4 linked regions of the Arabidopsis thaliana genome follow. The protein of the gene in region 1 interacts with the protein of each later gene in a pairwise test. Each region holds a gene or a part of one and is shown on either strand. Other genes may lie near its edges. The genes, in order: PYL6, ADA2A, NAC096 and ESR1.

Region 1 (7,520 bases):
TTCTAAGGCAATGGAGAGAGTACAATGAGCAGATTGAGGCAGAATCTTGTATCGATGGTGGTGGTCCAAAATCAATCCGAAAGCCTCCTCCAAAAGGTTCGAGGAAGGGTTGTATGAAAGGTAAAGGTGGACCTGAAAACGGGATTTGTGACTATAGAGGAGTTAGACAGAGGAGATGGGGTAAATGGGTTGCTGAGATCCGTGAGCCAGACGGAGGTGCTAGGTTGTGGCTCGGTACTTTCTCCAGTTCATATGAAGCTGCATTGGCTTATGACGAGGCGGCCAAAGCTATATATGGTCAGTCTGCCAGACTCAATCTTCCCGAGATCACAAATCGCTCTTCTTCGACTGCTGCCACTGCCACTGTGTCAGGCTCGGTTACTGCATTTTCTGATGAATCTGAAGTTTGTGCACGTGAGGATACAAATGCAAGTTCAGGTTTTGGTCAGGTGAAACTAGAGGATTGTAGCGATGAATATGTTCTCTTAGATAGTTCTCAGTGTATTAAAGAGGAGCTGAAAGGAAAAGAGGAAGTGAGGGAAGAACATAACTTGGCTGTTGGTTTTGGAATTGGACAGGACTCGAAAAGGGAGACTTTGGATGCTTGGTTGATGGGAAATGGCAATGAACAAGAACCATTGGAGTTTGGTGTGGATGAAACGTTTGATATTAATGAGCTATTGGGTATATTAAACGACAACAATGTGTCTGGTCAAGAGACAATGCAGTATCAAGTGGATAGACACCCAAATTTCAGTTACCAAACGCAGTTTCCAAATTCTAACTTGCTCGGGAGCCTCAACCCTATGGAGATTGCTCAACCAGGAGTTGATTATGGATGTCCTTATGTGCAGCCCAGTGATATGGAGAACTATGGTATTGATTTAGACCATCGCAGGTTCAATGATCTTGACATACAGGACTTGGATTTTGGAGGAGACAAAGATGTTCATGGATCTACATAAGATTTCAAATTTCGTTTGACTGGCCTAAGTTTGTGATTCTGCTCCGAGACGGTGTAGCTGTTACTAGCTAGAAGCTGCCCTTCTTTGAAGCTACTGATACTTTCTGATATTAATGGTTGTGAGACGTAGTACATGTAGTTAGGTAATGTAGGACAAGTTCAAATATGATTCCTTCTTTCTTTTTCTTGTGAATACATATGACATATGAAGAAGTTCAAACGTTGGGTTTAGAAAAAGTTTATAACATTCGGTACATATCAAAGTTTTGAACTTCGGATGCATATAAGCTATAAAGTTTTGATCTTTGAACTTTGGATACTCTCACATCTAATTTTCATCCTTAAGAATGGAGATGGAATAATGCGATGTTGCGTAGTGGTTTTATTGACTTGGCAAGTTTTGATTATTCAAGAAACTTGGCTTAGTTTAATGGAAATATCCAGTAGTGGAGTTTTTTGGTCTGCAGACTTTCCTCAGGTTGTCTGAGATTACATAAGCAATGAGGTATGAATAATAAAGTTATCATTAGAGAGTTATCTATCTGTATTTTCTACAAAAGGCAAATTGGGTATTTGAAAGTGCAAATGGGACATAGTTGTATATTATTTAAAAGGCTTTAACTATTCCATTCTGGTCTCCAAAATCGTTTTTCTTGCTCGAATCTTGAAGATCTTCTAAGCCTTTAGAAAAATGAAGAAATCAAGTTGGCAAACTGTTAATTAATTAAATCCAATGAATTGGTGGGTATTGCACCTCCACAAGTTCCCTTTGACAATGTGTCCTCTTCTCCGCAAGAATGAGATGCAACTATTTTGGACAATTTCTCCTTTTAATTACTTTTTGATCGATAATCTTCTCTTAATATCACGTTGTAATCTGATTCATTCAAATATCTATCGAAATTTAAGCTTATCTTTGATTTTTTCGATACTTATTTTTGAAATTTTAAGTGCATTTTGTTTATAATCATAGTTGGGGATTTAATAATTTTAGGTGGAATAATATTTTATGCATATTGGAGATTTATTTCTCGAGAAATATTCACAAACAAACAAACAACCGGCTTTTGCACAAAAATAATAATGACATGGAGTCGAGTTGTTTATACTAATGTTTGTCACTATCTCACCATTGGAATTTAAATCTTGGATATATAATACATGTTTTGACAAAAAAAAAAGTTGGCACAAATTATGTTGTTGTAACAAAATACGTCTGATGCATTGATTTGAGATTGACTCTTTGAACCCAAAAATGTATCACCGTAATATTAATACATTTTCCACATCAACTTGTAATCTATTTGTGTTCAGTAATATATTGGTGAGTGATTATGTCACCTAACCCGAAAGCTTATAAGATGAGCAATCTTTATATCGAGGATGGTGCAAAAAATAGCAAATTGTAACTTTTTGTCCTTCTTATTCTATAAAATGTCAGATATAATTAGTACTGCAAATTGCTCGCTTATTCGTATTAATCTTAACAACTAGGGCTACTTGGGAATATGTATAGTTGTTGGAAAAACTAATGCATTAGATAACCCTTTATTATTTTTCCCAATTGTGTTTTGTTATTATGCCCACCACTCAAATCCAAGAGTCCAATATATTCATATGATTTGAATATACGTTTGTGGAAGAAAACACACCCAAGAAATATTGTCCAATTCGTAAATTTCCCTGACTTTACGTTGGTTACTTTTAGCAAACTGCTTAGTTTGATTTTCTTCTAATTCGTCTTATTAATATTCTGTTCTTTTCTTTGTTGAAAAGGAATTTGATTAATACTTTTTTTAGTATCGTCGAAAGGCTCAAGTTGATTACAAGATGAGGAAAGATTATTATGATGGACCCATGACATGATATCTTCACCAACTTGGAACATTGAAAGTCCTATGGAGTTATTTTTGAAATTTTTACCTTAGTCAGAAGGTTCCAACAAAATTAAAAATCCACCAAAAACGCATCCAAGAATAGTACCAACTGAAAATAGATCGGCAATCACAAAGACAAAGGTCGGTCCTCCCAACCAATTTGTTTCAAGAATTTTTTCAAACCTATGCATAAATTAAGTATAGCTCTTAACCAATATATATAGCTTAACCAACTCGACACATAGTGATCATGTTCTTATAATCTTTAATAACGTTTTAGAGTTAGCTATATATATAGCCTCGAGACAGTAGAAGATTGAAATATCTATGCAAAACCTCAAAGATAATGTTCAATGTTTTTATATTCTGAATATTGATATAATCGGTGAGATAGAGATGAGTTCAGAATTTTTTTCTCGGTATCTTAAATGATATTGATTTCATTTTCTCAACTTTCATTCAAGAGTGTTTTTGGTTAAAACATAAAAACGTCCATTCTAATTATAGTAATGCTTGTGTGGTTACGACAACATGCTCATTCATTGTAATAAACTGGTGAAATATATAGCACCATTGACAAATAGACAGCCTCAGTAACAAAGCAAGGAAAAACAAAATTAAAATTTAATAACCGGTTATATTAAATATCGAGAACCAGTCCGTAGAATTTCATGGGAAACCGGGCCGGTCCTTGATATAAAGAAAGAGAGAGACGTTTCTTAACTGAAGCAGTACACAAACTCCAAACAAATCCCAAGTGGACAACCGAAGAACCCACACAAACTAACTCTCTTTCCTAATCCACATACTTGCATTTTTATATATAAACACTCTGTCCTTATATAGTTCTGTATATTACATGTAAATATCTCTCATTAATACAACCTCACGAAGAAAACCATTTGTTTTCTTAGAGAGAGCCAAGAATATTAAAAGAGATATAGAGAAAAGATTTGCTTTAATAATGCCAACGTCGATACAGTTTCAGAGATCCTCCACCGCCGCAGAAGCAGCCAACGCCACCGTAAGAAACTATCCCCACCACCATCAGAAACAGGTTCAAAAAGTGAGCCTCACGCGCGGGATGGCTGATGTGCCGGAGCACGTGGAGCTTTCCCACACGCACGTGGTTGGTCCTTCTCAGTGCTTCTCCGTCGTGGTACAAGACGTGGAGGCTCCGGTTTCCACAGTCTGGTCGATCCTAAGCCGCTTCGAACACCCTCAAGCGTACAAACACTTCGTGAAAAGCTGCCACGTGGTTATCGGAGACGGTCGAGAGGTTGGGTCGGTGAGAGAGGTCAGAGTCGTCTCTGGTCTCCCCGCGGCGTTTAGCTTAGAGCGGCTTGAGATCATGGACGATGATCGCCACGTCATCAGTTTCAGCGTCGTTGGTGGGGACCACAGACTCATGAACTACAAGTCGGTGACGACGGTGCATGAGTCGGAGGAGGACTCCGACGGCAAGAAGAGGACACGTGTCGTTGAGTCATACGTCGTTGACGTACCGGCGGGTAACGATAAGGAAGAGACTTGTAGCTTTGCTGATACTATAGTACGGTGCAACTTGCAATCGCTGGCTAAACTCGCCGAGAACACTTCTAAATTCTCGTAATTACATTTTTTCAATCTTTTTATTTTTATTTTATTTTCTATATTTCTCTCTTTCAAAATTTATCTTTTATTTTTGGGATTCTCGAGGTGGTTTTGGATTTTAAGATTTAAGTATTTAACTATCGTCGGGGATTTTTCGAAACTAAAACAAAAAACAAGAATTATATCAAACAAGATGGTTTTGGTTTTTCGAAGTTAGGGTTTTTAGGGTCTGTTAAATGTATGTCTCAACGATACTTTGGTTTTACCCTTAAAACCATTTCTTCTTGTACAGCTCTCGTAGCTTTATTATATAAACATTGATTGTTTAGTTATTTTCATAATCTTCTTCTTGCGCCGTATTTTACATATTTATTATTTGTCTTTTAATTTAGTTAATCATGAAACAATATAGACTATATAGTGATTCAGCTATAATGCATGGGGTATATTGTTACGATATTTCCGATATTATTATGTCTAATTTCATTAATTTTGATAACCTACATAATAATGTATTACACAAACAATTTGATTAATATAATCATTGGCATATCTACTATATATGAAGAGATCTGAACAATTGTGGGCAATCAGAAAACCCATACATGTGCTGATTGAGATGATTCGTTTTCCTTTATGTTAAGAGAAGAACAAAGTAAAACTATACATCATTTGAATTTTATTGAAATGTATAAACAGTAGAATACTACTTGGTGTTTTAAATGAATTTGCTCACCAGCTATATAATCAAAGCGTTCAATCCTAAAAGCAAAGATGGAATAATATCAATTAGTGATAATTAAACTTGAACCAAGGCGTAATGCATGTATTGAGTTATGTGATATAATCTTAAGAATTTTCTTTATGGCATATATAATGCTAGGCCAAAATAAATGGTGTCAGGTAATACAGCATTATATCTTTAATTCCCTAATTTGGAAACGTAAAATTTTCAAATTATTTGTCATTTCATCAACAAACTTTACATAAATACGTAAATGTTTTGTTTTTACTCACCAAAAAAATAAATCAAAATTATTTACATACCAAAATGATAAAATTTCTTAGTTCCTTTTATAGTTTTGGGATGCGTGAACCGTTTCAATAATTCAAATGTCAAAATTATTACTTTTTCGGATTTCCTTGTCCTATATATTAGTTCATGAATAAAAATGTACATTTGAAAAATCAAATAACTTTATCTAGTTATATAAATATAAAGAATCCAATGAACAAGATGAAAAGACATTCAAAGTTTGCAAAAGCAAAATGTGTTTAGTTACTTTATAATTAAGTAGTAAGATTTCGAGACTTGTGAACCAAATTCAAAATTGAATACATATATAGACATTCATGTATATGATCGTACGTAAAATGCAAGTTGGGGTGTAATAAAATCCAACTTGTTATAGAAAAAAAACAAAGCATGCAAGTTGCAAAGGAAAAAAAAAAAAGTCGCTACTATTCTTTGACACCTTTAAAAAATATTCCATAAATAAAAAAAAGGTTAAAGAAAAATCAAATTGATTACATAAATGATTATTAATTTATTATCATAATGAGTACGAAATATATATGTAAACATTGTCGTGGAAGGAAGGAATTGCAAGTTGATATGCAAGTTGGCAAGGAGGCTATTAATGTTTTCCCTCTTTTGGTCGTTTGTATAATGACATTTAAACCCACCCACCTTTCTTATTTTCTTTTCTGTCTTCCTATTTCTGATCACTATTATTATATTACTTATATTTTATTTCACATTTTTTTTAATTTTATAAACCCATAAGAAATTTTTTTCCCTTTTATTTACATATGAAAACATATGTATTCCCGTGTCAAAAAAATGAAAATTCTGACCAATCCAGAGAGATACGATTTATGGGGTTTGTATATTCCAATGTGGCATGTTGCATATAAACTACTACTATTTAACTAGTTTCTTAATAATTCAAATCCAAATAAACATGCATAAAAGATTGTGATAACGTACATAGCTGTGATATAATATGCATTACTTTTAAAAAGCAACGGAGATAGTTCGTATTTTCATATAGTCTTTAGCTGGGCTATCTAACACTTTAACTAATTAGAATAAGATATAAAGTTTGCTATAAAATGTAAATAGATGATTTATCCAATATATACATATGAGTGTGTCTGAAAAAGGCAAACCAAATTCAATGTAACGTGAAGAACACCGCCTCCTTCCTTAAAGTTTATTGGGGATAGATATTTTCGTCCATGATTTTAACTTCTACGATTTTAGGTTTGGAAGCATTTCGGTGTGAGTGGTGTGTAATGTTGAAAACATCAACGCGGATAAAAATCTTCTATATAGTAATTGAAAATTATCAAATACGATTTTAAAATTAATGAAAACGTCGATTTACTATTTGTTTATTAGGTTTATATACATGGTTTGCTACCAAAAATATAAAATTCTGAATATATGAGTTCACAGTTCATTCGCTTCAAAATAATATTTTCATTACCTTCATATTATAAAAATCATCTTAATTTCACAAGTTTAACAAAATTATATTAACGAAATTGTTTGATTTTATATTTGTGAGTGTGTGTTTATAACCTGAATTTGATATTATTGATTTATTGTCTATCTTTATTTTATGTAAGATTAGATTTTTTTTGTTATGATTTGAATTTTCTTACTTCCATTCATGTTCGGTCTAAGACAATTAAACTTGTGTGTTAATACTTTTTATGTGTGTCCAATATAGAAAACAACATAAAACAATTAAGCCCAATAAAGGCCCATCGGAACACCGGAACACGAGTTTTGTCAGTTAGGTTTGGCGAATCAGCACTTATAAATTAGAAGATTACAGTAGAGACCACTTTTTGTTCTTTTTGCTACATTACATTAGTTAGACTGTTTAGAGGCTACTTATCATTCTCGATTTGTCAAACCTTTTTATCTCACAACCAAAAAAGACAATATCAATTCAATGACTAAATTTTACAATTTCTCCACAAGATCTCTTTCCAAACTCAAAAAGCGCTGTCGTCTTCAAAGGAAAAAAATGTTTTCTCTTATCTCAAGTATAGAAAAGTTTAGCAAAGAGAAG
Region 2 (9,341 bases), on another chromosome or scaffold:
CGAATTGAAGAAGTGATCATCATGAAAGGCTTATAAAGAAGGAATGATTGATTGAATATACCTCAACAGTCCAGATGAAGAAATCAAGAGGCTCGGGAGGATGTTCTCTGGTCATCCTTTCCTCTGCACAAAATTCCCAATACAATTCACCAGCAATCATTTTACAAAACCCAAAGAAGCAACATATCACATGAATTTCGTGTAATCCAAATCGAAAACGAAACAGGAGAAGAGAAAGGGGGGGAAAAGAAGAGGAAATACCTACCGAAGCGACAGCTGTGAGATCCGAAATTTGAGCTTTGATCTGAGTGATTTTCTTGGGGAGAGAGACAGAGGAAGAGGAACGGGATTCAGCGAACTTAACTGTGCCAAAATGCGTGAATTTTTAGGGTTTGAAGAGAGAGAGAGAGAGAGAGATGAGAAGAGAGAGTCTGGGGGAGGGACAAATGGGTCCACCAAGTGAAAGTGTTTGCTTTTTTCCTCTCTTTTGGCTCTTTTTCTTTTCCTCCACGCTCCTCTCCCGCCTCCACGCGCCACCGTCTCTCCGTACCACGACCATTTTTGCTATTAAATCTTTTTCTCTTTTTTTTTTTATTTTATTTTTAGAAATAAATATTTTTACTGTCAAAATTAACTTTTACAGTTAAAAACCTTTAAGTACTGTAGTTATCAATTTTTTTGTGTATATTTTATTAGGGTAAATCATAGACTAAATATATTTGATTAGGTTTGACTCTTTTTCCATAATGAAAACAAAATAAGAGTTAGTGGCCAATAAGAAAAGAAAAAATCACTTTAGTCAATCAATTTAGTTTCATTTTCTTTTCCAATTAGTTAACCGACTGATTTTCAAATCTTACTTTTTAATTGTTTATGCTAGTCACAATTTAAATGTGGAAACGATGTTAGTTGATTCGCAAAAACAGTTATCAATATCATTGTTAGTTAGTTCATCGGAATATACGTAAATTCGTTGAGTTTTGCCATTTAACGCTTTCTATTTGCTCCCTCCTTTTGTTGTTTTGTAGTATGTACCATATCATAATTCTATGACATAATAGATGACTACCAAATTTTCTCTGCCAGCTTGCTTGTTATGAAATGAAGGAGGAAACAAATGTGAATAGTATCGGATTTGGGAGTTTTACAGAAAACAATTGAATGTTTCAAAGCCATTTTTACCAAACCCGAAGCTGAGATACACGTGACCAACACTGCTCACACACTCTTTTGACCTTTGAGCTTAATCATGGACCACCAATCTTCTCTTTTTTCCAAGTCCACTTAATTTCATTTGCTGACCTCATCTCCATTCTCATTTCCTCCTCCCAAAATATCACAAATCCTTTTGTAACTTGTTATGTCTTTCACTTTAAACACAGAGATCCAAGGAACGCCTCTTTTAATAATCCCTAGATGAGATATAATGTTACTAATACTATAATGGCAAAAATATCACCTTTACTATCACAAAGCATGGAACATTAGAACATAGGAAAAAGGATTTTGATTAGCTTAATCTGTTCTGACTTCGTATAAGATTTTCCACAGATACAAATATTGTTGATCCCTTGCTAACATGTTTCATCTTGAAACTTTGATTCTCTGAGACTCAAGAGTCAAGATTCGTCTTCGCAGGCCTCTGCGGCTGAAATCTCTGAATCAAGTTTGCTCATCAGAGTCTCTGTCACATGCTTGGCAACAGAGATCATGTCAAGGATGACGCTTGGGTCTAAGCCAGACCCGCTTCGTTTGGTTAACCCACATATATGGCCTGTCCGATTCACAGATATAGATACAGCTGAGCTCATCTGAGACTCCTCTTCTGCTGTTGCATCAACTATGTAATGCGTTCCCACCTGCAAAAACCAAGGACAGCATGGTAAAAGATTAGCGAAATGTACATAAGAAGATGTCGATGTGAATCAAGAAAAGTGAGATTCGATTACTTTTGTTAACGTGACTATGACCGGGACACTGGAAGTGTCAAATTGAAGATATTCCTCGTCGCTGATGTCAATCTCTGGTTGCTCATCATCTGCTACTTCAGCTGAAACATTGACTTTTGGGATGGCCGTGTTGGTTAAAGCAGCCTGCAGGAGTATAGTCAACAAGTGCATTAAAGCATGTGATCAGCCTTGAGGAAAGATGACTTTTGGGTTGCTTAAACTATCAATTGGAAACATATCGTAAAGCTACTAAAACCAATAACAAGACAACTACATTGAGCTAATCTATATACACTTAACTAAAGACCCATTCCCTTTCGTTTCCTATATTCTCTGGCCTTTCCTTTCTCATGATTCTGATTGATGGGTATGATTTACTCACTAACATTCGTAACTAAAACCTGAGACTAAGGGTTAAGAGAGAAAACCAAACACACATCACAAGAATTACCTTAATGGCAGCACCCAGGGCATCCAATAGATTCCCATCCGAACTAATGACAAGACCATCAATATAAAGGTCCCAGCAAACTTTTCCTTCTTTGATTAAAAGCGAAGATAAATTTATTCCAGCTCCTGGTACCAAAACATGAATTGCTATAAACGTTACAAACAGAAAGCGTAACAGTGTGCAGGTAAAAAAAAGCATTGCATAAACATGATTGCAGACCTGCTCCACTTTTGCCACCCAGAAGACATCTTTGAAGAGCCAAAGCAAGCTCAGAAGACAATTCCTCACCTCCTCTCCCCTAAGTAACAACATATCACAAAGAATTAGCCGCCTAAAGACTTAACACAGTAGAATTTAGGAGATTCTGAAGAAAAGTAATGATAACCAAAATCTCATGTTGAACAATTCCACTAGTAAGAGAAACACCAATAGAACGATAGAACGGGTGTGACAAGTGCTAGATAGAACCAAAACCAAACGAAATAAAAGAAAAGCTCACCCCAAATGTCGGTTCAGCTGTTGGACTGCAATCAATGAAAACTGCAACCTTTCCTTTATCGGGTTGAAGTGAACTTGGCCTCCCAATTTCAGCCTGCAATTACACAAGATTACTGGGTAACATCTACAATAGCACTTCCCATTCAACAATAGAACAGTAGCAGAGAGAACAAAGGAAGTACCTTTACACTAGCAATCACATCGGTTCCACCAATTCTAACTCTCGCTGAACCATTAGCCTAGAGCCAACAAAAACAAGAGAAAGAACATATCTGTTAAACAACTGGGAAGCAACAATGAGAAGCGGACGAGCTCTAGGAGATTACACTACCTGCGGAATAACACCGGTTTCGACGTAGATAGGACGGTAAGTCAATCTTTTCCGACCATCAGTTCGAAGATCTTGAGCAATCCCACCTTTAATGAAATGTTGTTCCCCAAGAGAAAGCCCCATCACTAATACTACACAGAGAACGAATTAGATCAACTGCTGAGGAATTTCTACCGGAATGACAAACTTCAAGGTTCACGGATTGGTGCTAGGGTTTAAGAGACAGCTCAAACAAAGTACACATCTTTATACAGCACAATCAAAACCCACTAATCTTCTTTACCTTCCCGGAGAATTCAATAGAAGACACAACTCTGAAGTTTTCCGGTGACCCTAGCGGCAACTTTGGATTGGTTAGGTTAAGAGAGAGACGTGACCACTGACAACTGCCGTAGGGTTTAAAGATGGCGTGAACATAATTATTGACACTTGTTAAGGGTAATTTAGTCATTTACCGACTTACCATTTTTTCACTGCTTTTTAGCGTTTTCTCGCTCTTCTGGTTTTTTCTTCAATCTGCCGGGAAGAAGTGCGAGCTTGGTGCCGATGGGTCGTTCGAAACTAGCTTCTCGTCCTGCTGAGGAAGACCTGAATCCAGGGTTCGTTTAAAGTTTCGTTCTTTGTCCATCTTAGCTCGAAGTCTTCTAGGGTTTTCTCTGTTCAATTACTTACTTGTCTTTGCGAAAACATTTCAATATCTGGTAATCCACTTAGCTGTGTTTGATTATCTGAATCGGAGTTCTTTTGGTACTTGTGGGTGGCTCTTGATTTCATACTGCTGTCGTCTCTTGTCTTTATCCTAATTTTGATGATTTTGGCTGTTTCAGAAAATCAAAAAGGAAAAAGATATCATTGGGTCCTGAGAATGCTGCGGCATCAATTTCCACCGGTAGGTTTCCGTTTACTTGTGCAATTAGGTGTGATACTGATAGGACTAAAGTTTCTGCTGTGGATAGATATGCATTGATGTATCATGTACCAAGCTGCGTTTTCCAAAAGTTCTTACATGTACCAATACATTGTAGGAATTGAAGCTGGGAATGAGAGGAAACCTGGCCTTTACTGTTGTAACTATTGCGATAAAGATCTGTCTGGTTTGGTTCGTTTCAAATGTGCTGTTTGTATGGACTTTGATCTTTGTGTGGAATGCTTTTCTGTCGGCGTTGAACTTAATCGTCACAAGAACAGTCACCCATATCGTGTTATGGTTAGTTTCCAACGCCGAGCAGTATATTTGAATTCAATTCAACGCTTTGTCAGCTGAAAAGTAATTAGATTAGTGATTGTGTTTAAAACAAAGAAAATGTTCTATGGTTGTATTTTTGTTTGTATTGAATCTACCCTTTTGTTTGACAGGACAATTTGTCTTTTTCGCTTGTTACTTCTGATTGGAATGCCGATGAAGAGATACTCCTTCTTGAGGTAATCATTAATCGTTTCTGATTGTACACTCCCATGTCTATATAGAGATTCCATCTGACTATTGGGAAGTAAATTGACTGTGTTAGGCCATTGCGACATACGGGTTTGGCAATTGGAAAGAAGTTGCAGACCATGTTGGTAGTAAGACAACGACAGAATGTATTAAACACTTCAATTCTGCTTACATGCAGTCACCATGCTTTCCACTTCCGGTAAGGACTGATGAAAACACATGATCGTCAGATAGTTGAACCTAGCTTGTTTATTTACTCTAGCTCCCCGCTCTGTAGGACTTGTCCCATACTATTGGAAAGAGCAAAGATGAGCTGCTTGCTATGAGTAAAGATAGTGCAGTCAAAACAGGTCAGCTTTAAAATCTATTAGCGGGGTTTCTTGTTGATTTGGGACTCGTATATTAACCTTGACTGAAAAAAGGAGGATGCTGAGCTCTGTTTACTATTTGTCACAGAAATACCTGCATTTGTGAGGCTATCTCCAAAAGAAGAGTTACCTGTGTCAGCTGAAATCAAGTATATACTTATGCTTGTAACAATAGTTTACCTACGTTTACAATGTTGAATGCACCTTTTTAAAAGTACTATTATGTTTCCATGGGCAGACACGAAGCTTCAGGGAAGGTCAATGAAATAGATCCACCTTTGTCTGCCTTAGCTGGAGGTATGTGAAAATGCTTTTATCTATATAAAATTGTAGACATTATTTGCACTTAGATTTATGGCTAAGGACGCAAATCATCCGCATTTCGTACTACGACCCCAAATATTATCTCTTCCATGATTCCATATGTAAAGTAATACTTTTTATTGTACAGTCAAGAAGAAAGGCAATGTACCGCAGGCTAAGGACATCATCAAGTTGGAAGGTTTGTTATATACTGGAACAAGTTTTTATGCAAAGTGATATTTACGCGAACAAAAACTAAAGGTAGTTAACGGCCCTTGTGTCTTAGCTGCAAAACAACAATCTGACAGGAGTGTCGGGGAGAAGAAACTCAGACTTCCTGGAGAGAAAGTTCCATTAGTAACAGAGTTATATGGTTACAATCTAAAGAGGGAAGAATTTGAGATCGAACATGACAACGATGCTGAGCAACTGCTTGCTGACATGGAATTTAAGGATTCTGACACAGATGCTGAGCGTGAGCAGAAACTGCAGGTTCTTCGTATTTACTCGAAAAGGTACACTTATCACAGGAACAACCATTTTTAAACCGGAGAATTTTTTCATAAGCCAATGCTACAAGCCAAGATTGTGCCTTTGTTGGCAGGCTTGATGAGAGGAAGCGGAGGAAGGAATTTGTTCTGGAAAGAAACTTGTTGTACCCTGATCAATATGAGATGAGCCTTTCAGCAGAGGAGAGAAAAATATATAAAAGCTGTAAAGTGTTTGCGCGGTTCCAATCCAAAGAAGAGCACAAGGAACTGATTAAGAAAGTCATTGAAGAGCACCAAATTCTCAGAAGAATCGAGGATCTTCAGGTTTGATGCTTAAAATTTTACCAAGCTTGAGTACTGGATTACAAACTCAATTAGGTGGGAACATTAAGTTGAGCTTTTAATAAATGTTGCAGGAAGCTAGAACTGCTGGTTGCAGGACAACTTCAGACGCAAATAGATTTATAGAAGAGAAGAGAAAGAAGGAAGCTGAAGAAAGTATGCTGCTGCGGCTTAACCACGGTGCACCAGGCAGTATAGCCGGTAAAACACTAAAAAGTCCAAGAGGGTTACCCAGAAATTTGCATCCCTTTGGTTCTGACTCACTGCCAAAGGTCACACCTCCAAGAATATACAGCGGTTTGGACACTTGGGATGTTGATGGTCTCCTTGGAGCTGACTTACTCTCAGAGACCGTAAGAACAATAATTTTCAAACTTGATGTTTGTCATCTTATTTGTGATTTTGTTGATTTGTTGACATTATTCCTATGGTTTGAGAGATTGAAGCTGTTTTTTGTGCAGGAAAAGAAGATGTGCAATGAGACCAGAATACTGCCTGTACACTATTTGAAGATGTTGGATATCTTAACAAGAGAAATAAAGAAGGGGCAGATAAAGAAAAAGTCTGATGCTTATAGCTTCTTCAAAGTAGAGCCGAGTAAAGTAGACAGAGTATATGATATGCTGGTTCATAAGGGAATAGGTGACTCAACATGACTCATAGCTTCATGGTCCTAACATGTACTTCTCGAACATATATTAGCCATGTAAATATAAAGGAAGGTGATGCTGATTTTGGTTACACATCTTGTTCTCTGTTAGTTTCGACAACTTGACAATGTCTGATTGTTATGACCTTCAAAGGCTGTTTCAGATTTTTTGATACAACGTTTAAACTGAATATTGTAATGCCTTCACTCATCTGATTCCTTCAATTTTTGTTATATGAGATCAGAAAGTCTTGAGACATTGCATCAGTTTTCAGGAAAAACCTAAATAAAACCAGATTCTTTGGTTACAAGAAACTACACTGGATCAGATTGCCATCCAACAACAAAGAAAAAAAAAAAAACAGACAGAAATCCAAAAACTTAATCTACATGAAGCCAAAAGCTTTACCATTTCTAAGGTTGCCAACTTTGAGTCTTCTCCCAAGGCTTGAAAACACCATCATGAGAAACATATTTCAAGTAAAAGAAAAAGCCACGCAGCAACTTCAAAGCTCTTGCCTTATCAACACCAACCACAAGCTTGTATTCTTTTTCGAAATCAGGGAAACTTTCTAGATAAGATTGTCCCAGTTCGTCAGTCTCATAATCAGATCCTCTTCCCTTTCGTAGTTCTCTGCATCGAGTCATTTTTTTATGGATTGATACGTAACGATGGAGCTGCTTCATCTCTCCTTCATCATATGGATTTTTCAAAACATCCATTAGCTCCTTTCTAAACCAACTGCTACTACTTTCATTCTCTTTGCTTCCTTCATCAAGATCAACCACTTTCTTGGACGCCACAAACGGTGTACACTCCTCTCCATCCAAAAAAGGGGAATCACCCATCGCAATTATATAATCAGACCAATCATCATGTGGTTCAACCTTCACTTCTACTAGTGGATCCAATTCAGGTACCATTGTCGATTCTTTTAGAGTATCCATATCATCTTTCTGAAGATTTTCCATTGGCTCAGTTGTCGAATCGCTAAGAGAATCTACAAGCCATGTGAGGTACCTCATGTAATCCTTATCCACAACCGCTTCACTCCCCTCATTCTTCTTCCTTCTCCCTACAAAAACTTCTTTGCTCCTTGAAGAAGTCTCATCTACATCATTAACCTCTGTAACTCTATGTACTCGCTCTACGTGATCAATCTCCACAGCAACCCTCTTGTCTTCTTCAGTTCTAACCAATGGAACATCTTTTATTAAAGCATCGTCACATTTCCTCTTTCTTCGTTCAGCAACTCTGTTGTCTCTTTGAATGTCTTCTTGAGTTTTAACCAATGGAACATCATCTCTTCTTAAAGTCTCAGCCTTTGACTCGGAAAGTTTCCTAACTTTGTTGTCTCGTTGTTGAATGTCTTCTTGTTGGGTTTCGAGTGAAGGAACGTCTCTTGAAGTCTTTGCAGCTTCTAACTCTGCGATCCTCCGCTTTCTTCGTTCAGCAACTCTGTTGTCTCTTTGAATGATTTCTCGGATTTTAACTCTTTCAACCTCAACTCCAACAGTTTTCCTCTTGCTCTGTTGATTAACTCTGTTCTTCACTGGATTCTCATTCCCAAGCTTAGATCTCTTTGAATCACAAGAAAAGATCTTTAATCTACGAATGTCAGATGCTCCATTGTCAACTTCAAGGCGAGTGCTTGAACTTTTCTTATCACCTCTTCGAAGATGATCCAAGAAGACGTTGTACTCCTTATCAACCATAAGATCATCATCATCATCATCTTCGTCAAGACAGATAATTGGAACATCGATTTTTTCAGACATTTCATTCACCATAAACCTTGTATATCCATCATCAATCACAATGGCTTTCTTCTTCATCGCAATCAACACTCTATTAAATTGATTAAAAATAGAAAAAATTAGGAAATAATTATGGAAGTAAAAACCCTAAAACGATCAATCCGTTGTCGCTGAAACCATAATGCAGGAAAAAAAAAACTATGAAAGCTAGAAAGATAAAACATAGAAGGAGCAAAAAAAGGACGCAGAATCGAGCATACCGTTTAGAGCGACTCTGCTTGTGAACACTAAACTGAGCAAATTATTCTCCTAAAATAAGAAACGGAAAGAAGAAGAAATTAATGATATAACGTAAATATTAGGGTTTAAATGCAGATCAAATTTTGCTATAATAATTAAGGAAATTTCTGAGAGAAGCAGAATATGAAGAGACGTGAGATAACACTTAAGGAGGCTATACGCCAAAGCTATAAACCAATTATTGTTATCAGACAAAATAGTTAAAGAGACCTAAGGAAAATCCACGTCATATATTTCATATTTTCTCACCATATTAAGAGTTTTTTTTTCCTTTTTCGCCAACCTTAAGAGTTAGAAATAAGGAAATATCGCATAACTAAATAAAAGTTAAAAATAACATAATAACCCGATATACGAAATAATAACATAATTGTATTTTATGATTTGTGGGAGTGTGGGAAACAAGAGCATGCATTGGGTTACTTGTTCAGTGAGTATTAAATATAGGTTGGTGTGTGTCGTGTGA
Region 3 (7,853 bases), on another chromosome or scaffold:
AAACATGCAAATTATAACTATACATATATGTGTATGCATAATATAAAGTTACATAGTATAAATGGTTTTTTATTCTATATACATGTTAGCATGTGTGAGTGAGTATTTTGAGGAGAAGCTGAAAGACAACGAAACATCAGATTCTGAATCTGATGATGAAGACCTAATCTACAACGGGTATAATACTGTTTTGGATTCTAAATCCGCCGACGAAGCGCTCGTAAGACATCTTAAATCAAAATCTTTATTTCGAATCCGACTAGTTAAATTATATATCTTGAATATCTTTGTGTAAAAATGTTTCTTTTCTAATGAACATTTATAAATGTATTCATTTGATATTTTTGTATATGAATATCGTCCCAATATCTATATTGAACATATTGACACATATTTATATAGGCAATGTATGCAAAGTGGGAGCCAAGACACACAAGGCGTTGCAACAAATTTCCATCCCAACAATATATCAAAGTTGGATCCGTTCTTCGCAAGTTTGGTTACACTGTTGTTGCTCTTCACGGTTGCTTACAAACCGAGATTCAGGTAATTTATTCAACCTTTTATTTGCATTAGAAGAAATTAAAATTATAGCATATAGTTTTATTATAATGTTTTTATGTTAATTTTTTAAGACTCCAAGGTCTATCCGTGTCCTCTTCAAAGATCCTTGTGTTAGACTAGCCGGAGAAATCTGCAAAGTTTTATCAGAACTCTCCGAAAGCATTCAAAACCGACGTCATTGCTCGTCGGAGATTCTCTCCGACAGTCTCGAAGCGGCATTAAAAGATCTCAACTCCACAATCAAGTCACAACCTAAGCTCTTCTTAGGCTCTAACCTTCATAGTAACATCACTAACAAGCACCTAAACGGCCACGTTTCATATTACAACGAAACTAACTCAAACGGCACCGTTTCATATCACAACGATAATAACACAAACGGCTGCGTTTTGGGAGAAACTATAGAAGAGAACGACACCGTATCACCACTTCCGTTAAACAGCGTTGTTTCACTCTCTAGCTTAAGATCGGTGAAGAAATCGGCGGCGACCGGAGAGAAGAGGAGATTGAGGAAACAATTGAGCAAAATCGCGGTTATGAAAAGTTTGGAGTTTTCGGAAGCGTTACCATTTGCTGCGTTTGCGTCACTTCTTGTGGAAATGGTTGCGAGGCTTGATACTGTGATTGATGAGGTTGAGGAATTGGGAACAATCGCCTGCTTTAAGGAGTACGATAAGACTGTGGAGGTGCGAATTGAGAACCGGTTAATCTAGTGGTTGTGTAGATTGAATGTATCGTTACGATACGGCTTATTTTGGTTTTGTCTCGGTTTTCTACTACGTGATTTCGATTCTCTGTTGCGACCGATTTTGTTATGTTTTTAATTTCTGGAATTTTGTAACACGAGGTGTTAATTTGAAGAGTTACGTTGGTAAAAAAAAAGATTACTTTTTGATTTGTGTTGGTTACTTGGTAAATTTTGGCAAAAACTACAAAAAGTTGTAAAAAATAAAAAAAGAAAAATATCAGGGCCCAACCGGGTTCGAACCGGTGACCTATTGATCTGCAGTCAATTGCTCTACCACTGAGCTATGGACCCAATTTGTTATATGCCTACAAATAATTTTATTAATCTTAATACTTCTAGAAAATCACATTACATTTTAATACCAAAATAAAATAATTTTTTTATAAAGCTCATCCAAGTGGTCAAACGATGAGATTTTTTTTGGGAAACTTGATATCCTATAACTTCAATTATGCTCCTTTATTTTTATTATAGAGATGCAATTTTTCAATCCTATTTTTTTCTGTATTAGAGAAAAATTATGTTGTTCATAACTTCATAAGTGTTTAGTATTTTTGGTGCCATGATTCCTTTTGTTAAAAGATTGTTTTACACAGAGTCATTGTTATCAACTTATCACTTCCACAAAAGTTTATTCTAAAGGTTATATATAGTGACGTCACAAAAAGATGGTATAATAGTGTGGTGACCACACTGGTCCAATTAATCATTGTAATAGAAATGACTAATGAGAGATAGATAGTTGAAGGATGACAGTAGTGCATAATCCTATTGAGACTTTTAAGAGAATCCATATGGAATATAAAATACAGCTTCATATATATAAGATATATAACTAACGGTAAACATTTTCATATAAAATATAATAATCCCATAAAAAGTAAAAGAAAAAAAAACAGAATTATGAAACTCATTCATATATTTAGACCAATGCCAAAAGTCTTCCAATACTTAAAACGATAAAAGGTGTTTTTGTCGTAAAGAGAGACCAAATACTTCCGTCTAGGAGAAATCTGAGTAACCGAATAAACCGGTTTGATCGTATCCATAATTTGTCCAATAACCGTTTTGCATAAACTCATCCATGTTCTGATCTAAGCTTGTACTCGCTGGAAACTCCATGTTTTGGTTACCGATGATCGGAAAATCAAAGTCTTGTTGGAAGCACTGAGATGCGACATCTTGGATTTGAGGATAGTCCTACAAAAATTATAAAACCGGTATACGATTAACAAACATTGGTTTAGTTAGTTATCAGTATGTTTAGAATTGTGTACACATTACCTTTGAAGAATCGAGGATGAATTCAGGTGAAATCCAAATGTTGGAAGAATCAGTTTCAGTAGATACAGGATTGGCAAATGAGTGAAACGGCATTGTTTCATCGCGACTAGGAGACGTTACTCGGCTTGATAAACCCGAGCTTTCTCCTGATCCGATTGTTTGCTCGCTTGGAATTTTTCGGATTTTCGTATTAGTTTTGATCTCATTCTTCATAGCAACACGACATAACACAAAAGCTCCCTATAGTTAAACACATTCATTTCTTAATGGTCTCTCAATATCAAAAGAAACGAAACCATTTTAGAACTTGATCAAATTATAAAGTTACCTTTAAATTTTGTGATCCTTGTGATGTATCATCATCGCATAGTCGATATTCATGCATGATCCAATTGCTTCTATCGCCTAACGGGGCACGGCCTTTGTAGAAAACTAGAGTTTTTCTATAACCAATTATAGAAGATGAACGAGAAGTAATTTTTCGATCTTTTCCGGTTGCTTTCCAATAACCAGCCTTTGTTCCTCGATTTGTACGAAAACCATTAGGATATTTTTTGTCCCTTGAGCAGAAGAAGTACCATTCCATGTCCCGGTTTGGGAGAAACGACTTGTCTAAAAGTAACAACACAAAAATATTAAAAATTTGAAAAGTTACCTAATACTTTAAATAGATTTTTGGAAGTTAATATATTACCTGGTAACTCCCAAGGATCGAAACTATAAAGATCGATGACGGGAATGACTTCAAGCTCAATCTCGAGACCTTCGACTTTTCTTTTCAAGTAATATTCGATGAGTTCTTCATCCGTAGGATGAAACCGGAACCCTGGAGGTAAACATGAACTTCCCATTTGCAACAACAAAGTAGAATACGATGACTTGCTAGACAAAAAAAGGTTAAATAATCTTGAAATGGATATTTCTTGAAGTCACGAAGCTATAACTGTTAATATTTGGAAAATCCAAAAATAGAAACTTTTCTCGATGCTGGATTTGTTGTTTAGAAAAAATTGCAAGTCAAGTCGATTGTATTCTTTGTGTGACAAGAACATTGTCTGAAAGAAAACAAATTATTTCGTACAATAACAAAAAAAAAAAGTAACTAACAAATCTTTAAAATGAAGAGATGTAGTAAGGAAGTAATATTGGTGTGAAAGCTTCGAGAGTGATTAAGGAATGATTTTTCCTAACAAGAAGTGCTTAGCAAAGAGTTAAGAGAGTGATTGTAGAAATTAGAAGAGGTTGGTAGAGTGTTGAATGGTTGTGGTGTGATGAATATTTATAGCACAAAGTTGGTAGAATATTGATTTGTATATAAATGTAAAATGGAATTATAAAAGTTTGTTAGAATGTGGCTTTTATTTTTTACAAAATTATGGGTGACCGATAAAGTGATTAAGACATAACTTGTCTGAAGTGTTCTATGTAACAATTCCAAAGTAAATGGACCTACCTAGATTCAAAAGTTTATTTACATGTTCACACTTATGCACAAGCAATTAACAACTCATTCATATATCTTTCAAAGTTTTCTCCTTGACTAATTTTATTTTCGATAATAGGCTTATCATTTCAATCTTCAATCATACAATTATTATGTGATTTACAACATAATCAGTTTTTATGTATATTATATATTTACTAATAATTCAATGTAATCTTTTGTAAAAAAAATGCTATAGTTTTTTAAAATGTACCAATGCTATAGCCTATAGATATGTTAATGTGTGCAACTTTTACACCTCAAGTTGTAACTTTCCCAGTCATATATTACTGTGATATTGAGTTTTAAAATATTGTTACACGTCACTATGCGTAGGACAAAACAACTTTTTAGTGTAACTATATCACTTTTATGTCGTATGAAAAAAATGGAGAGAAGAAAGTGATAACGAAAACTATTTGAGTCGGAACAAGCTAGTGGACCCGCGGCTGCTTTAATCGGACCAAAACATATTTTTAACATTTTCTAATTTGTTTATATGTTCATGTCTTTAAGAACGACCAAAGAGCCACTTATATAGAAGTTAGTTGTCATATGCTTGAGATATAAAGTTTCTTCTTTAACAATTTTGGAATTACATAGTAACTTCATATTCTCGAGTTTAGTTTATTATTTCGCCTAAAATATCCCGATAATATAAAGTTGCAGTTCATGGTTTCCCATTTAGTTGGATCAATTTAGGTTTTTTCATAGCATTCGGAAAAGGGATGCCTTTATACACGATGACTCAATTTCCACATCACTAACATGAATCTTAAGTAGAGTTTTATTAGCTAATGCAGTCAACATAAACCATATGACTTCTCGAATGATACGTCACATAATCTTAAAATTTCATAGTTAACTTAAAAAAAGAAAAAAAGAAATGGAGATGTTTTTGGCCACTAATGAAGAAGAGCCTAGGGAGCTCTCCATGTGGCAACAACTCCTAAACCTAAGGAGAAATGGTTTATGGTTCCTTTTATTTCAAGCTTAAAGACGGTAATATATGCTTTTTCTGGTATTCCTTATGGACAGCTTCTAACATTGACTAGTGTTTAGCTAACGCTACTAATGAAGAGGGTTGGCAGTTTTCTGGTGCTTAAATCCACAATGTTGAGGTTTTCCTCTGCTACTTGACATTAATCCATGTCTCACAAACAACATGCAGCCACTTCTGGAAGTCCGATCCCTTGGTATCATCAAGTATGGTTCTCGGATTCAGTCCCAAAACATGCTTTCACCATGTGAATCGCCTGTTTGAATCGATTACCCCTCCTCTCCCGTTTATGCTCTTTGGGAATTGTTGGAGATAAGATAACACTTTCCCTCTTTGTAAAATATATGTGAAAACAAGAGACAAATTGTTTCAACGTTGTCCCAATAGCTATGACTTAATTGTGACGATGGTGCACATCATGATTGAGATGCCACATCATGGGACTCTCAACTTGCCTCGAGTCTCCTCGACATGATAACCAATAATCCATCCTTCGTCTTATTGCAACCCAAGCTGTTATAGTTACACCTAATGGCAAGAACGTAAGAACCGAATCTTCTGTGTTATTTGTTGAAACAAGTTGACCGAGTAATACGCAACAATTACTCTGCGAGACATTTCTTTTCGTGGTTTTGAGACTCTTTCACTCGGTAATTTTGTTGTTTTAATTGCTAAAAACCAGAGTTGCCAAACCCGAAAGTTTGATGCTCTGTTTTTGTAAGTCATTTCTTTTAAGAAGTAAAACCAAAAATTGTAACAAAAAATATAATAGAAAAGAAAGATCGATCATCCTCGATAGAATCCAGGTTTCAACTATTACTTAGAGGTCATAAAATATCTAATTTATATTAAAAATAAAATGTAATCCAGTTCTTAGTCTTCCCATGAAAAGAAATGTGAAAACATACCAAATGTAGAAAGGGATGGTATGGTATGTCCCGACATCCATATTGGTGGAACAGTAGGCCAACTAATATATTTGGTTTGACACGGTTTTAGTCTATACATAGCAAAATCATTCACGAAAGGTTGAATTTTTATAAACTATTTGTAATTGGTTATATATACGTGATTTCCATTTATTCGGATATTAGATTTTTAATTTGAATTTTGACTATTAGCATAGGTACTTGTAAATTATCGATGTAGTACTAACCAAATTTAAACTCAGATAATGCATGTTGTCAAAGAAAAAAGATACTGAAGCGTTATTATGTATTAATCTGTAAAATCATTTTTGTTGGTTTGATTTTGTTCGTAATTGAGAAATCCAAGTGGCAAAAAGCTCAAAATAGTTACTTGAGTTGACGGTAACATAGGTTCTCGTTCTATGAAAGTGTTACCTTATTATTTTGGTAGAGTGAGAATATTCCCACACTACTTTACGTACGTTCACTTTAACCCATGGTATCGTCAGCGGGAATACGATCGGAAAAGAGAATTAACCCCAAAAAAAAAAAAAAACTAAAAGCATATGTAGAGGAAAATATACTCGAAAAAGTTTGCCTATACGAATAAACGGATCTATCAATGACCACCCTTACACGGATACCTATATTAGTTTTGTAAATAATATTGTCCTTACGTGGTGAAAGCGTTTTTGGTCTAGTAAGTAGTTAGCCAATAAATTAATATTCATACGTTGATACAGTAATTAAAATTCTAAATATCTCGTCTGAATCGTAAATATCTCGTAACATGTATAATGTGTGTTAGAGATTAAGGTAGGGATTATTAGGTCATAAGATTAAGATCTATAATGTTTAGGAAGCATGTAATGAGACATTGAGTAATATATAAGAGACATAAGTCGCTGTACTTATTGCCAATTGGTTTTGGGTTAGAAATTTATGTAACTTTATTATAGTATCAGAGCTTTCAATCTTAATTTCTAAGCTGGTTCTGATGCAATGATAAATTGATAAGAGTAAAGAACACAAATATGTCTAGGATTAATTATAATAAATTCTCATAAGAATAATTGTACAAGATGCATTCTTTTATATAGAGATGAGATTGATCTAAGTTTCATAATCTAAGATAAATATAAATATACATAATATATTTAGAAATAATGCTAAATATTCTAAACTTCAATATTAACAATATATTTTTGTCATATTTTCGTCTTATCCTCTTGACCGTCGATCTTCGGTTCTTTATACGGGTTTTCTATATCCCAATAATGTGAGTTCAGTTTTTAATATACGGATATATGGATCTCTTTGTATAAACTACATCATCATTTTGATGATAAATAAAAGTCAGATAACAATGTGATAGACAGATTAAAAATTTGTAATATAACTGTTTGTATTATTAAATTTGTCTCTAAGGAAACTTTCGGGAGATGGAAGAACTTATGGATGATCTTGAAAAACTTATGGATGATCTTGAACCACAAGGAGCCATGTTCGACATGGGGGCGATTTGTAATATAACAGTTTGTATTATTAAATTTGTTACCGTATCGTAATTAAGATTTAAATATGCATGTAAAATTTATAGATAACGAAAAGATACTAATTAAGATGTATATGGTTTTATAAATTTTCAGATGATACTCTTCATAAAAAATGCTTTTTTGTAAGTACAGTTATATTATACCTAGTTTGGGTTTAAAGATAATGGAAAGTTGTTAATCATTGTTAGATAATTAACAAATGAATAAAAGCAATTATATTATGATGGTAGAAAATAAAATATCAAGTTAAGTTGAGGAACCTAATCTCTTGGACCCCAATATGTGATGCGATGTTCGGACGGCACATTGA
Region 4 (7,165 bases), on another chromosome or scaffold:
ATCTGAATTATTGTACACTTTTAATAGATGTTTCTTTTATTATTATTGTTAGTTAGTACTTCAAAAAAATGAAATAGTTACAGCAGATCATTTTTTTGTTTGTTTTACTGATCATATTCATACGTAATTTGGTGTTGAAAAGTAAGCTTATAATTTGGTGTTGAAAAGTTAGCTTATCATAAGAACAATAATCAATGTGTTAATTAGTTATATAGATTAGGACCCAACTCTAGTGTAATTACTCTTCAAACAGTAAGTTTGGTCTATCTTCTCAATAGTCTAAACAAGACGTGAGCTTATATTATAATAAAGAGCATTACACCAGATTTTCCAATAATCCAGAAGTTTCAGTTTCAATCCGAAATCTAGATAATTTATTCAAGAGTGTGGATGCATTTAATGTTATTTGGCCCAAATTTCTCAGTATATTTGAGAGAAGTAAAAATATTTATATTAAGCAATGAATTATAAGTTCTTAAAATATAAAGATAGTCAAATCACAAAGTAATATTATGTAACGCATGGGTGCTCAGGGTCCACATCATAGGGGGCAAAATGATGAGAATGATCTTTTCTTATGTCCCAAAAGGTCATTCACTTTCAACGGGATTTGTTTTTTTAACCTATTTTGTATCACACTTTTATCTCGAAAGATTTTATTTTATTTTTTACTACTTGACGGTTTTTTTTCCTGTTTTTATTAAAGCAAGAAGGTTGATTGATTGAACTCAGAATTTGGAGTTAGAATTCTTTTTGATGTTGATGAAAGATCATTATTAAAGAAATACATTTTATAATTTAGTCCTTTTTAGCAGAATTTGAGTTAGAATTCTTTTTGATGTTGATGAAGGATTATTGTTCTTGGAAGAATGAATAATTCGAAGAAGTGAAATCCGTTTTTCAAGGGATAAAATTGATTGATTGAGTTTTGGAGTCTTGGTATTTGACACTCTCTTTCTTTTGTCGTTACAATATCTTCTTTTTCTCGACCCACCATTTACTCTGTCTTTCAAAATCTATCAAATCATACTTTTGATTAGTTACTATACTATAGTCATTTATACCAACATAGTTCATACAAAAAAGCAACACTTAACAAGAAAGAAAAAATATAAGGGGATTAAAAATAGAGTGGTGAAGCAACGACTCCAACTCTCCCATTGATTAGAATACATCCTTTTCCATCTTTACGGATTTATAAAGATTTTGGTTATTTATAGATACAAATTAACAGTATAAAAACAGTTATCATTTTTTCTTTAGAAAATAAATAATTTTTTATAATATGGTCCATGTTTTCATTAAAAATTATTTGATAAAAATATGGTTATATTACAGTTTTACTAATATATTTCTATCTACATATAAAATTTAGATAAAATTTGATTTCTTTGCTGAGTTTGTTTGGTTGAACTAAAGTCATGTTAAGTTTGATTCGTTTGGTTGTGAGATATGTAGATTGAGTACGGTTTGACTATAAATAATTGGTTCATTTCTTGCTTTCACTTAATTGATTAGGTTGGATATATAATTCACATGTCCAACCCTAATCGAAACCGAAGTATTTCAAGTTGATATTATGATAGATACACTAAAATTATCTCAGAACACGAGCTATCGTAATAATTTACTTTGTGACATCGGAAATCACAAAGACATTTGCATAGGACTGAGCTGGAAACCAAAAGTCTTTAGTTCCCAAAATTATGAAGAATTTCTCAAATTTTTAATAGAAAATAGATAAGTTCACCAATGAACTCTTTTGTTGTTTTTACCATATAGTAATAACTATACTTAACAATTATTATAGTATATATTAACTCAACCTACCCCCCCAGACAAAATCTTATATCAACCATGGATACTGTTAGTTTGGTAATAAAAGATCTTGCCTATGGTTTCACATAGAGTTGTAACATTTCAACATTAGACAAAATGTTATCAGTTTAAGTTCATATTATGACTATGCACATTTTAAATTAAAACATTTTAGTTTGCTTGTAAAATTACAGAATTAACGCAGGGGTTTTAATTGCTGCTTATTGTCTCATTCAGTCATTTGCCGACCAACCAACATAAATCTCAATATAATGAGTTCATGACGTCATGGTCATGGTAGATGGTTTTATAATAATACCTAAAAAATCTCAAATGATGGTAGTAATTAAACACATATGACGCAAACGCAGCCATTACAACGCTATTTCAAAACTTATTTAAACAATTAGTAATACTTACCAAAGCTTTTGAAAGATACTCCAGTAAACTTGTCAAATTCTTATATTGTTCTAATAGACTTTATAATAAAACGTAAGCATCGGGCGATATGGCATGATTATTTCATGACAGAAGAAATAAATAATTTTAACAAAAAAAAAGACAGAAGCAATAAATAAAAAACAAGCTTCTGATACATGAAATACATATATGTCTCATACATACGTTTAGACAAACCTGAAATGTCCTCTTCGTACAATAATATCCACAAGTGTCAGATTTACACTGAAGTGTTGCTATGCATATCTTTTGTTCCATACTTTTCTTACAAAATCATTTATTTTCTTCTCGATATCACCGATTGGTGTATGTTGTAATCATACATTAACATTAACAAACAAAGATACTTTTTCAAGGATTATTCTAATTGGCAGTTTTAGAAATAATGGAATTATCCTTTACTAATCATACAGAAATAATGTAAATATGTTTAGCATGTGTGAAATGACTGTTGGTCGATTTTTAACTTTAATAAATAAAAAAGCAATAAGAACGTGGTTTTATTTCGCCACTCCCACTTGCATCGTCATCATCAAAGAAAAACACTAATGTCTAGACCAAAGATTTAAAACATCTACCCCATATATATATGATGAACAAGATAGCAAGTAAATTTAAATGTAAAATTAAATTTTAGTTTGCTAAGATTAATATACAAAAGAAGTATTATCAATTTATCAGTTATTAATCAAATCAAGTTTTAAGTGCAACTCAAAAGTTTCCATGCTTATATAGTTATTTGTATACTACTATACTGTATGTGCAAGAAAAGCATTTATACTCTTCGCCATATATTTCAAACTTCACAAAATTTAATTAAATTTTTATACCATTTATGTACCTATAAATAGATAGAAGAAGCTCCATCTCTTTCAAACTATCAACCACCAAAATCTTTCACATTACACCTTCCTTTTGTCCTCAAACCAAAACCCTAGAAACCAAAAATGGAAAAAGCCTTGAGAAACTTCACCGAATCTACCCACTCACCAGACCCTAATCCTCTCACAAAATTCTTCACTGAACCTACAGCCTCACCTGTTAGCCGCAACCGCAAACTGTCTTCAAAAGATACCACTGTAACCATCGCCGGAGCTGGCAGCAGCACGACGAGGTACCGCGGCGTACGCCGGAGGCCGTGGGGACGATACGCGGCGGAGATACGTGACCCAATGTCGAAGGAGAGACGTTGGCTCGGAACATTTGACACGGCGGAACAAGCCGCTTGTGCTTACGACTCTGCGGCTCGTGCCTTTCGTGGAGCAAAGGCTCGTACTAATTTTACTTATCCGACAGCTGTCATTATGCCTGAACCAAGGTTTTCTTTTTCCAACAAGAAATCTTCGCCGTCTGCTCGTTGTCCTCTTCCTTCTCTACCGTTAGATTCCTCTACCCAAAACTTTTACGGTGCACCGGCAGCGCAGAGGATCTATAATACACAGTCTATCTTCTTACGCGACGCCTCGTGTTCCTCTCGTAAAACGACTCCGTATAATAACTCTTTCAACGGCTCATCATCTTCTTACTCAGCATCGAAAACGGCATGCGTTTCTTATTCCGAAAACGAAAACAACGAGTCGTTTTTCCCGGAAGAATCTTCTGATACTGGTCTATTACAAGAGGTCGTTCAAGAGTTCTTGAAGAAAAATCGCGGCGTTCCTCCTTCTCCACCAACACCACCGCCGGTGACTAGCCATCATGACAACTCTGGTTATTTCTCTAATCTCACTATATACTCTGAAAATATGGTTCAAGAGACTAAGGAGACTTTGTCGTCGAAACTAGATCGCTACGGGAATTTTCAAGCTAATGACGACGGCGTAAGAGCCGTCGCAGACGGTGGTTTATCGTTGGGATCAAACGAGTGGGGGTATCAAGAAATGTTGATGTACGGAACTCAGTTAGGCTGTACTTGCCGAAGATCGTGGGGATAGCTAGATATTCATCATGATTATGTTTTGAGTTTTGGTACTATCGACTTAGTTTAAAGTTGCTACCTTTCCCAATGTTGGATATTAACTAAATTATGTTTTAAGTTGAATTTGCTAATAGGATTTCATAATTATAATCAAGTTTATAATATATTTTCGTAGCTAATTAAAGTTTATATCCACGTATTCTGACACATTACGCGCTTAATGATTTAAGTTGTATCATAATTTATAATCACATGGTGGAACTTGTTAAGAAGTTACGTAACTCTTAAACAGCTTTAAGCCTCTAACATAGTCGTAATAGCAAGAAATAATATATATGATGAGAGATGAGTAAAATAGGAAAATTCCTTTGTTCAGCAATGTTGGTATCGACCTATTAAAAGTGAATCTGCAGATGAAAAAGTGATATCCTTACATTTATTTGTTTGTAGTCTGAAAAGTGGACTAACGTTCGTACAAAAGGCAGTGTTTGTCTCTGTCTTCTCCAACTTTTCGTGCTCTCTTCATTCTATCACCAAAGGAAAAGCTGAACTACTAAATAACAAAGGTCAAGAACTTTAATATTGATTGATGTCAAAAAAATTAGTAATAAGTACTGATTTTTTCACATGTTGATTAATAAGTACTGAATTTGCAGAAATAAACTAAAATATATGCTTTGACCAAAAAAAAAAAACTAAAATATATGCTTTTTCAAAAAAACTAAAACTAAAATATATGCAGAATGAGTTTAATTCATTGCGAATATATGATGAAATACAAAAAAAAAATTGCGTTTTTTTTTGTATCAACTGTACCCACTACTCATGTTCGCAATTCCGTATGTTTCGTGGTTATTGCGTTGATGTAACATGTATATCCGTCGATGAAATTAGTAGTATACGAAAATTGAAAACCACAAAAATGGTACCAAAGAAAATGAACACGTACGCACACACTAATCATATGTTTGTAATTTAATCTACTGTCTCATATAAGTAGACAACTTAGATATTCCTGTTGGATGCTAACTTTAGAAATCTCAACGAATTAAAGTGAAATCATAATAGGGGATACATTATTAACAGGGTGAATGTCAAATTGTTTCAAGATGAAGGCTCAAGGCTAGGGGTTTAGGGGTATTTGTAGTCTTGTAGAAACATAAAGTTAATATTCATTAGGCAATTGTCAAAACCATATTGTTCCTTTTCTATTTTTTGATATATATACCTTGTAAAAATATTCCACATCAAAAATCCGATTCGCTCAAAAAAAACTCTGATCGTATGATTCTAGTTAAATAAATAAATGGATGAAAGCATCTATTGCATTGTCAATTTCAACACAGCGAAAGCACGGAACTTCAATTGTTGAACTCTATTCGAACTCCAAGCTTAGTAATAGCAAAATTTCTCTCCATACAGTAGTAGACATGGGCGCAAAAAGTTAGGCCCAGTTTTTAATCAGGCCCATTATGAGATTTACATCTGAGAAGTGGAAAGTTTGTATTCTTGGTTTATGTACTTCACTTGAATTGCTCTTTTCCACAACTCCACACATTATTATCTACGTCTGCTAATTGCTGTGACATAACTTTATTATCATCTATGATCCTGAATATTTAGTGGTTGATTACTACAGAGTATTGTTGTTAAACTCGATGTATGAAAGTGCAGTGCATTTCTTAACAAAATTTAAGTTTACCTTGTATTTCTTCTCTTCTTTAATCTTCCCAAAATATACTTTTGTGAATGGTGATTTAAAAGCTTTTGAGACCACTCAAATGATAAAGTGGGGCTTGTGACGTTTCAGACATTGAAAACCTCATAATATATTAGTGGGAGACCTTAAAAAATCAAGTCAACGCCGACTAATCCAACACAGCGTCACACGTTAACGTATGCAATACAACATTAGGATATTTTTATCACGCATCGTTGTTTACTTTATGTTATGTAAAAAATGTTAGAAATCAAATCGAATTACAAAACGTGTAGTTTATCTTTTCTCAAAAAGCCTCCAAGTCGTCGTTTTCATGTACACACACATACTCCACTCGTTCTCATAATTCCGATCAAAATATTATCATCATTCATCCATACGTATAACCCAATAATTTATTCTTATTGAAATTGAAAAATCAAATTTTCCTTACCGGGTGATATCTTACATTTAACTATTTAAGCAATCATAAACAGAGAAAGAAACTAACATACTCAATTCACTATCAAGAGTGGAAAAAATCGTACAAGTAGACAAACACTTATCTTATTTGTCCAAGTAAGAGTTTTATATCTCAATCATAAGTAAACGGCCTTATAGTCAATGTATCTCGCCGACCTATCCAACACAAGTCACGATGATGATCCACTGGCTTTTGTTTAAAAGATTTACAATCATTGAATCATTTTGTCTCATTAAAATTAAATAATTTGATAAGGATTGTTGATACATTGTTACACATGAAATGATGCTCTGTATCCTAAACATTTTAATCATAGTAATAATTCCCTAGAAGAAAGAAGAATATGATTCTTTCCGTTGACCTTTTAAGGATGTCTAAATGGGCCATGATGAGTGTTAAAAGTAAGCCCAATTACAAAGGAGATATTTTAGATGACCACGTGTCACAAGCTTAGTAATGAAGTCATTTACACGACACAAATAAAACAGAGGCGTTGAGTCAGGTCCGAGAGACTCGTGGTGGGGCCCGAGTAAACCGTTATGCTGCTTCTTAAATGACTATATTATCCCTAAACGCTGCTTCCTTAGAGTGGAGTAAGATAAGGGTAAATACGTAAATTTAAGAGAATGCAGAGAAATTGATGATTTTATTAAGAATTTGTGAAATTGGCCCTCTCTTTTCTTAATCGCGTAGTGCCACCCATTTCCAGAGAGGACACAGCCTTTTCTTTCTTCCTCTTTCTCTCTTACTCATTCGTTTTTTTTTCCTTCTTCTGATTCAAATTTAT

Evidence for each region.
Region 2: the proteins of PYL6 (region 1) and ADA2A interact in binary tests that used the Arabidopsis thaliana proteins (3 or more experiments, as listed by UniProt).
Region 3: the proteins of PYL6 (region 1) and NAC096 interact in binary tests that used the Arabidopsis thaliana proteins (3 or more experiments, as listed by UniProt).
Region 4: the proteins of PYL6 (region 1) and ESR1 interact in binary tests that used the Arabidopsis thaliana proteins (3 or more experiments, as listed by UniProt).

Annotation. Positions count from the first base shown.
Region 1 is NC_003071.7:16,842,110-16,849,629, reverse strand, and holds PYL6 (PYR1-like 6), read left to right. Parts: upstream 1-3,435; 5' UTR 3,436-3,805; coding exon 3,806-4,453; 3' UTR 4,454-5,042; downstream 5,043-7,520. Other genes in the region: DREB2C (Integrase-type DNA-binding superfamily protein), read left to right, coding at 1-965; TBL33 (TRICHOME BIREFRINGENCE-LIKE 33), read right to left, coding at 7,491-7,520. UniProt on the Arabidopsis thaliana protein: Receptor for abscisic acid (ABA) required for ABA-mediated responses such as stomatal closure and germination inhibition.
Region 2 is NC_003074.8:2,467,497-2,476,837, reverse strand, and holds ADA2A (ADA2 2A), read left to right. Parts: upstream 1-3,742; 5' UTR 3,743-3,775; coding exon 3,776-3,828; exon of another isoform or gene 3,829-3,930; intron 3,931-4,056; coding exon 4,057-4,118; intron 4,119-4,201; exon of another isoform or gene 4,202-4,202; coding exon of another isoform or gene 4,203-4,254; coding exon 4,255-4,457; intron 4,458-4,585; coding exon 4,586-4,651; intron 4,652-4,737; coding exon 4,738-4,863; intron 4,864-4,941; coding exon 4,942-5,014; intron 5,015-5,120; coding exon 5,121-5,181; intron 5,182-5,270; coding exon 5,271-5,329; intron 5,330-5,483; coding exon 5,484-5,534; intron 5,535-5,621; coding exon 5,622-5,850; intron 5,851-5,939; coding exon 5,940-6,150; intron 6,151-6,242; coding exon 6,243-6,521; intron 6,522-6,629; coding exon 6,630-6,824; 3' UTR 6,825-7,007; downstream 7,008-9,341. Other genes in the region: AT3G07750 (3'-5'-exoribonuclease family protein), read right to left, coding at 1,620-1,859, 1,950-2,093, 2,401-2,525, 2,620-2,698, 2,900-2,992, 3,081-3,137, 3,230-3,352; AT3G07730 (uncharacterized protein), read right to left, coding at 7,232-8,653. UniProt on the Arabidopsis thaliana protein: Required for the function of some acidic activation domains, which activate transcription from a distant site. The exact mechanism of action is not yet known.
Region 3 is NC_003076.8:18,901,273-18,909,125, reverse strand, and holds NAC096 (NAC domain containing protein 96), read right to left. Parts: upstream 3,869-7,853; 5' UTR 3,448-3,868; coding exon 3,291-3,447; intron 3,209-3,290; coding exon 2,925-3,208; intron 2,837-2,924; coding exon 2,597-2,836; intron 2,513-2,596; coding exon 2,315-2,512; 3' UTR 2,074-2,314; downstream 1-2,073. Other genes in the region: AT5G46600 (aluminum activated malate transporter family protein), read left to right, coding at 90-220, 403-546, 636-1,277. UniProt on the Arabidopsis thaliana protein: Transcriptional activator involved in the positive regulation of abscisic acid (ABA) responsive genes. Acts as a positive factor of ABA-mediated responses.
Region 4 is NC_003070.9:4,426,567-4,433,731, forward strand, and holds ESR1 (Integrase-type DNA-binding superfamily protein), read left to right. Parts: upstream 1-3,151; 5' UTR 3,152-3,224; coding exon 3,225-4,211; 3' UTR 4,212-4,399; downstream 4,400-7,165. UniProt on the Arabidopsis thaliana protein: Regulates gene expression patterns in meristems and thus modulates organ development. Required for correct embryo patterning and cotyledon organogenesis. Modulates auxin signaling pathway in early embryos.